2 linked regions of the Cricetulus griseus genome follow. The protein of the gene in region 1 interacts with the protein of each later gene in a biochemical or structural test. Links are inferred from orthologs where the notes say so. Each region holds a gene or a part of one and is shown in the gene's direction. Other genes may lie near its edges.

What was found.
Region 2: the proteins of Sh3gl2 (region 1) and Synj1 form a complex in vitro, tested with the Homo sapiens proteins (2 studies listed by BioGRID and IntAct, with this or other methods). The link is inferred for Cricetulus griseus from reciprocal best matches to the Homo sapiens genes SH3GL2 and SYNJ1.

Annotation. Positions count from the first base shown.
Region 1 is NC_048595.1:62,445,412-62,449,054, reverse strand, and holds the end of Sh3gl2 (endophilin-A1), read left to right. Parts: intron 1-1,209; coding exon 1,210-1,409; 3' UTR 1,410-2,893; downstream 2,894-3,643. UniProt on the Homo sapiens protein: Implicated in synaptic vesicle endocytosis. May recruit other proteins to membranes with high curvature. Required for BDNF-dependent dendrite outgrowth.
Region 2 is NC_048597.1:6,747,902-6,752,500, forward strand, and holds the start of Synj1 (synaptojanin-1), read left to right. Parts: upstream 1-1,770; 5' UTR 1,771-1,943; intron 1,944-2,094; 5' UTR 2,095-2,116; coding exon 2,117-2,240; intron 2,241-4,599. UniProt on the Homo sapiens protein: Phosphatase that acts on various phosphoinositides, including phosphatidylinositol 4-phosphate, phosphatidylinositol (4,5)-bisphosphate and phosphatidylinositol (3,4,5)-trisphosphate. Has a role in clathrin-mediated endocytosis.

The DNA of each region.
Region 1 (3,643 bases):
AACTGCCCACATACAAATCAGACCAGGTTTTTCTCTTCAGGCATTGCCAACTGTGAAACTGTCTAGGTTAAAGAAGGGGGAATCCACGTGACACTGGATGCAGATGTTAAAGATACACAGCTTTCTCCCATTCTCCTGATTTACTGCATTGGAGAACTTTTATACCATGCTGTCATGGTATGAAGAAGAGGGTGAAGCTCTGTCCACAGCTCAGACTGCCCAGTGTTACTCAGTGTGGGGCCCAGACAGCAGTGACCCTAAAGTTCATCGAGTTAATTATCTATGACTGCACTTCTCCTTGCCCAGAAAAAGACATACATTTAATTTTCTCTAAGTAAAAAAATATATTGTTTCCTTATTAGGACATCTAGCTAGTGTGGGGCCCATAATCACTTTTGTATTTGTATTTATGCATATGCTGTATTAATATGTTTACTCATTTAAAAGAGATCCCTTTTATGATACAGTCCATTTTTATTAATTTATGCAATATGCACTACATTATTATTGTAGGCTGTGTTTTTTTACCCAGTACTCACATGTGTATGTTACATACCAGTTTACTGAATAGAGACTGTGAATTTTAAAATGTTTGTCATTTGATGACACAATAATTTAAAGCAAATTCTGTTAACTTTAATTTTGGATGAAGAAGCAAACAGAATGTTTGAGCCAGGTCACATGGAGAAAAACCCTGGGCCTAGTGCTTTATGTGGCTACAGCAGTTCTCAAGGCTCTGCAGTTGTTAAAGAGTGAGAACTGACCTATGATTTTGAGGTTTTAGAATGTTGTCTGTGTAACTAATTAGACTATTTTAAAAGTATTAAGATGCATGGATTTGGCCATGCCTGTAATTAACCTTAATTTAATTATTAACTCCAAAGCCATTGCTTTCCCACCTCTCAGCATTGTCAGGAAGATAAACCTAATGAACTCTGTTATACTTACCACACACAAAAAAACAAGTAACCATTTTTCATTCTGGACATGTCAACCGAGAATGTTCACCAACACTTAAAGCTCTAATGGAACATAGGGAAGCTGGTAGAGACAAAGATGCTTTGTAGTGGGTGCTGGAGGAAGATGAAGATCAGAAGGGAGTTGAGTGACTGGGAATGGGGAACCAAGCTGGTGGGTGGGGCAGGCAGTAAGTGCTGCTGGTTAAATACCCTGTGATTTTTTTGTGTTCTCTCTGCCTCTGATTCTCAGGTGCCCAAATGGACCAGCCCTGCTGCCGTGCCCTGTATGACTTTGAACCTGAAAATGAAGGGGAACTGGGTTTTAAAGAGGGTGATATCATCACACTCACTAATCAAATTGATGAGAACTGGTATGAGGGGATGCTTCATGGCCAGTCTGGCTTTTTCCCCATCAACTATGTAGAAATTCTGGTTGCTCTGCCCCATTAGGATCTTATGCTGGCTGGCTCACCTCCTTCTGACCCAGATAGTTAAGTTTAACCACTGCTTTGGTAATGCTGCTTCCAACACATCATGAATGCAGGCCGCAGTGGATGAGTCATCAAGCCCACACATGTCCTGGGTTGACCTGTGTGCTCCTACAGTTGACCTGGTGATAGACGGTATCTTCCAAGGCCAGTGGGTCTGGCACATGCTTTAAAACTCCATCTGAGACTAGCCAGTGGTTACAGAACTGCTCTTCACACAGTTCTCAGGAGGGTGCGGTTTTTGATAATAAATCTGTGAGCCACCTCACAGAAAAACTCTCCTCACTGAAGATATTGTCTCTCACCCAGGGGCCATTTCAAGGTCTGGAGTTCCCCATGTACAGAGGAGAAAGTCCTTTCTGTTGCACTTTCCCTTCCTAAATGTGTGAGTCACAGAATTGTTGGTGAAGCATCCCCCACCAGCAAATTGTCTGCTGGCCTAAACAACTTGGACTTTTGATGCCATCAGCAGAAGTATTAATTGTCCAAAGCACTTTTGTTCTCATCCATCTATCTTTCTATCTATCTATCTATCTATCTATCTATCTATCTATCTATCTATCCATCTAGCTATCTATCCATCCATCTTCTATCATCTATCTATCTATCTATCTATCTATCTATCTATCTATCATCTATCTCCTACTTCTGAGACATACCAGTTTTCTTCCCTCCCTTCTGTTAAAGCACTAGAGAGGTGGCGTTCCCACTTATTTCTGAGTGAGTTGGTGAGCATTGTGTATATTGTCTGAAAAGAGAAAATTCTCCAGGATGAATTGGGAAGAATCTGATCTCCAAGCTCAGATTCCTTGCTGTATAGAAGCTGTATATATACGTAGCCCATTTCTGAAGGATACAGGAAGGGGGAACAGCTGTCTTCCCTTCTCTGTTTATTTACCCAGGAATCAGTCCATTTCCTGAGTCCCTCTGCCACAAAAACATAGGAGAGAAACACTAGTAAGCATTTCCCACATCTTCATAGAACAAGACATAGTGACCGTTGCTCCTTCCCACTTTTATCTTGTTTGTGTTCCTTGAACATCATTTGTGTATATTCTGCCCTCAATGAGGACCAAATAAAGATGATTTTTGTGCTTAGCAGTTTAAGTATGTGGCTGCATATAAAACCCTTTCACACTTTAGTCATTACTTTAACCCTTCTATCGCATCTTCATTTTGTGTGTACAGTGCTGTGCAAGCTGATCAGTGTTGTTTTTATTTTGTGTTTTCTCTGGTTCTTTTCCCCTTCAGTCATGGAAGTCCTGTTAGGCACCCAGAGTTCTATTTATCTAGCTGTACAGGCTATTTCAGAGGTTTAATGTGCTGCTTCCGATATGCCACTTGCAGTAGTGGTTCATGTGGAGTGAAAGGTAAATCTTCCTGCTTAATGTATAAACTCACCATGGGAAGCGTTGCTGTTTCCAATAAATATTGCTGAAGATGAAACAGAGGGTTCTGCCTCTTCCTTATTTATCAGTTCCTTGGTCTGACAGTGGGTGGACTAAGACTCCTTTGATCTCCATTGCCATTGAATGCAGCCAATCCAGACCTGGTCCCAACCTCATCTCCAGCTTGTTGCATACAGGAGAGAGAGGTTCAAGAAACAAAAGGTGAGCTAGAGTAGGCACTGGCAGCAGTAATGCCAGGAAGGAGAAAAACTTGGCGGAGAGGGTAAGTAAGAGAAGAAAGTTATGTGATTTAACAAACAGTGATGTCAGCAGGAGAACACAGTGTTAAAAAGAGGAAAATAAAGTATCTTGGCCAGACTTTTGGCTTTGTTTTGAATACTCCTTTATTTTAATTTCATATATGTATGTAGAAAAAATATCATTTCTCCCTCTTATTTCCTCCTTCAACTTCTCAAGTGTCCCCCAATACACCTTTCAACCAACTTGGAGTCTTTAAATCCAGTTAGTGTTGATCATGTGTGTAAGTATGGGGCTATGCATGAAGCATGGAAAACCTACCAGTGGCCAAAACTTCAAAAAAGGAGGATTCTTCCTTTCCCAGCAATATCTACTACTATCTATATGCTACAGTAATTTGGGAAGAAAAAAAAATCAATTAAGAAAATGCCACTATAAGATTGGCCTGTAAGTCAGCTTGTAGGACATTTTCTTAATTAGTGTTAGATGTGGGAGGGCCCAGCCTATTGTAGATGGTGCCTCCCCTAACAGGCGGTCTTGGGGTATTTAA
Region 2 (4,599 bases), on another chromosome or scaffold:
TCAACGGCAAGGTACTACTACTCTCCTGAGCCCCTTTTTGTTGGAGCATGTTTACAGGCATCACATTGTGTTTTCCTTCAAGGATTGTCCCCCAACTGAAATGGACTCTTCTTGGAAGGAAAATGACCTAAGCATTTTAATTATCAGTGTAAGCTTCTGGTTACTGTAACCACAGCAAAAAGCGAAAGTTTTTCTAAGGAGACTACTAAGTGAAAGATTCTCAGAACTAAATCCAAGTGTGTCTCCTGTACTAGAGGTGGCTTGTGTTTGGTTTGCTTATTAGTAGTCTGAAACCAGGGTGGATCTGTCTTGGATAAAATGGAGAAATGTTGAGTCACATGATAGAGCCTGTTAGAGGAAACGATTTTGTGCAACGCATCGTAAATGTGCTTTCGGGTGGGGGATGCAAAAAGGGGAAGAGGCTAGGGAGAAAAAGCAAGTGGAAATATGACTTGTGGGTTCCTCGGGTTTTCAGTTCCTTTGAAAAGCCCTATTAACTACATCATTCTACCATTTTGGTTTCTTGAATAGATGCAGAGTAATTCTGCCGGACACAAATCAGAGGCGTGTTGCGTTGAGGGGAAAAACGGTATCAAACAGTGTGATGCCCTATTTATAAGAGCCCACGGCCGGCAAATCGGCACGTCACCGAGAGAGTGACTGCCGTGTTTTGTTGATGTGGCTGGCGCCCGGGCTGCGGATCGCTCCCTCCCTCCCTCCCTCCCTCCTTCCCTCTCTCAGAGGCCTTCAGCGGAGCCCTGGAGCGCCAAGGACGCCTCCCGACGCCAGACACCATGGACAGCTCTCCGGCACCGCCCGCCGCCCGCCCGCCGGGGCCGCGGAGGCGGCAGGGGGTGGTCCCGGGGGGCTCGGCTCGGCTCACCTCGGGCTCCCCCGGCCCGGCCCGCAGCTCTAACCGCAGTCCCCCTGGCGGCCGCGGCCGGGCCGGGGCTCAGGGGCCTCCACGCGAGGACACCGCCCGTCCCGCCCCTCCCGTGCCGGCTTCCCCGGCCGCGCGGGTGGCCCCCCGCTCCCGCGCTGACGACGGCGGGAGGGACGCAGGACCCGGGTGGCTCACGGGCGCCCGGCCGAGCCCAACGGCCCCGCGTGGGCGGCAGTAGCTCCGCCCCTCCACCCAAGGGGCGGGCCTTCCCCCCCCCCCCCCCCGGCAGCGGCGCAATGCGGAAGAGCTGGGCCTGCTGAGGCGGAAGTGACGCCTCGGGCGGCTGTAGCGGCGGCGGCGGCGGCTGCGGGAGGAGGAGGAGGAGCCGGAGGAATAGGTGGGCGGCCGGGCGGGCGGTCGGGGGGACGGGGGAACGGGGGACGGGGACGCTCCGTGACGGGCGCGGCGGCGCGGTGGCGGCGGTGGCAGCCGGGACGCGAGCGGTGAGCGGCGGCTGCGGGCGGCCGGGCGGGCGGCGTGAGGAGAGCGCGGGCGGCGGCGGGGCGGCGGCGGGCGGCTGCGGTGACGGCGGCTGTCACCCCGCGGGCCGGAAGGCTTCCGCTCCGCTCAGGCTCCCGGGCATCTCCCGAGGCGCACAATGGAGGCTCCGGGCTGCCCGCTGCCTCGGTTTCCCCGGCTACCCCGGAACCCCCGCGCCGCGCGCGGGGCGAGCCTGTCGTCACCGTGACCTGCGCGCCGGGCGAGCGGGTGGGCGGGCGAGCGGGCGGGCGGAGGCGGCGGCGGTCACCTGTGTGGCGGCGTCCCTGCCCTTCGCCGCCGCCCTGCGGAGCCCGCGCGCTGACGAGCCCTACCCTCCCGCTGAGGTAGACGCACGAGCCTCAAGTTGCCGTCAGGTCCCCTCAGGAGAGGCGGCCCGCGAGGCAGGCCCGTGAACAACCCCCGCCGAAAACGCACGCACGGTTTTCCTGTGGGTAAACACAGACCCTGCCTCCCCTGGCCGCATCTTGACAACTGGAAGCCGGTTTCCCTTTGCCTTTTGGTAAAAATTTGGTGACGCCTTATCTTTTGGAATAAATGGCTCACCCCTGATTTCTCCTCTCTTCCTGCACCCCTACCCCCCTCACACTTGGCAGGGAGGGACCCCTGGGTGCCCAGCCGACCATTGGCTTGACTTGGCTTGGCTTTCACAGGGCTGCCTCTGAGGAAAGGAGGATGGCGTTCAGCAAAGGCTTCCGAGTCTACCACAAGCTGGACCCCCCACCCTTCAGCCTCATAGTGGAAACGCGGCATAAGGAAGAATGTCTCATGTTCGAGTCTGGGGCTGTGGCCGTGCTCTGTAAGTCACGTGTTTTAACCTCACCGATTATGATCTCTGTTTTGGTTCGTAACAGTTTATAAAAAAGAAAGAAAATCCTTGGAAGCCTTCAGACCGAATTTTATCTGATGGATTTATTCTTTGCTTTAATTGGAAAGAACCCTTATTTCCTGTAAACTCAGACTTAGGTTTTTGTTTGGGGAGGTGCAGATTTTGCGGATAGGATTTTGCTTTCTCTGTGTTCTGCTTCTAGAATTGTATCTTTTTGTAGAATATTGTTGCAGTTACGTCTTACCGCATTAACCCAATAGGACAGCTTGCTTGATAGCTGTAATGCATAGAATTTTGCAGGTCAGTTTTAGTAGTAATGATATTATGTTACAGATTTTTGTGTATCTTATGTCAAACCCTTACTTATTTTTGTATGTATGTATGTATGTATGTATGTATGTATATTGGTGTGCCTCGTGAGCATGTGTGAGATTCAGATCAGGCCCAGGCTGCTACTGAAGGACTTGCGTGTGCATGAGTGATGTTGGTGCTCTACTACTGATCACTTCTACAGCCTACGAGTTTATATTTTTCAGTAAAAATTGCAGTTTGTAAAAATTGCATATGAGATGAGTGATTGGTTTCATTTTGTTTAAAAATGACTGATTTTTAAAGAAAAGTTCTATTTACTGTACCTCTTATTGTACACACACATACACACACACACACACACACACACACACACACGCACGCACGCACGCACGCACGCACGCACGAGCAAAGGCAAAAAATGTTTGGGTTAATTTGTGGCAGATGGATGAAAATGAAAACTACTAATTAACATGCTTTTATGCTATAATTTTTTACATTTATTTATTTGTGTGTGAGTGGGGTACGTGTGGAAGTCAGAGGTAGCTTGTGGGAGTAGGTTCTCTCCTCCTTCTATATATGTTCCAGGGACAGAACTCAGGTCTTTAGGCTTGGTGGTAAATGCTTTTTACCTGCAGAGACATCTCAGTGTACCCCATGCTTCAGTCATTCAGTGGGGCAGATAACCCCAGTTTGGGGTTGTCCCAGGTATGGTGTTTTTAAAACAGATTTTCTAATGAGAACTATTTGTTCTTGAGTTTTTTAAAGCAGTGTTATAACCTGACCTGCCCCCCTCCCCCCTATGATACAGCCAAAGCCATTGAATTCCAAATCCCCCTACCTTCATATTCAGAGTGCGGGCAGTACAGGCATGCTCCCGTGCTAGGTTCATTCGGTGCAGGGTTGGAACGCAGGGCTTCATGCATCTTAGGCAAGCACTCTGCTAACGGAGCTGCATCCCTAGCCTTCTTGGCTCCATTTTCTCAGATTGTGTATTGATCATACTTTTATAAGTTAAAACTGTTGTTTAGGCTGGAGATGCTCAGTTGACAAATGCCTGCCATGTAAGCTGGGGATCCCCAGAACCCTCACGGAAGACAGCCTGGCATGCTCTGCATGAGCTGGAACGTGAACATTGCTAGAACTGGATGTCAACCTCTGGCCTACATGCATACGCTGTGTGTGAATATTTAATAAATATATAATATATAATAAAGGAAGACACCTGATGTCAACCTCTGGCCTACATGCATACTCACACACATATATATATATGCGTGTGTGTGCATTATATAATGTATATTATATATTACTGTGTATATATATAAACGCACATGTATACACACAATAATGTTTGAAAAACAATATAAGCCATAAATATTTTAATTATTACTCTTTCTTTAGACTCAGTAGGTAAAGAGCATAATGTCCTACCCTATGTATAAAAGATTTTCATATTGGCTCAGGTGTAACCTGACTAAAATAGTAAAATTTTATCCTGGTAGGAAAAATAATAGTGACATAATGAACAACTCCTAAGCAAAGGTCAGTATAACACACGAGCACGCCGCGCGCGCACACACACACACACACACACACACACACACACACACACACACGCGCGCGCGCGCGCGCGCGCGCACACGTATTTCTGTTGCATACAGTACCATGGTTTGAAGGGAGAAGCAAGGAGTGAGATACATCCCGAGAAAAAGGTTAAGTAATATTCAATATGAACGTCACTGCTCAAAATTGTTCCTTATGGTTTGTTTGTGTAATAGCCCTAGCTGTCCTGGAACTAGTTCTGTAGACCAGGCTGGCATTGAACTCACAAAGATCCGCCTGCCTCAGCCTCCCAAGTGCTGGGATTAAAGGCATGTGCCACTACTACCTGGTGGTTTTTATGATTTAATAAAATGAAAATGCCATGCTCCAGCATCATGCTCCAGTGTTAATCCACACAGAATACATTTTCATACTATAGATGTACTTACACTAATGAAAGCTGAAATAAAAAGAT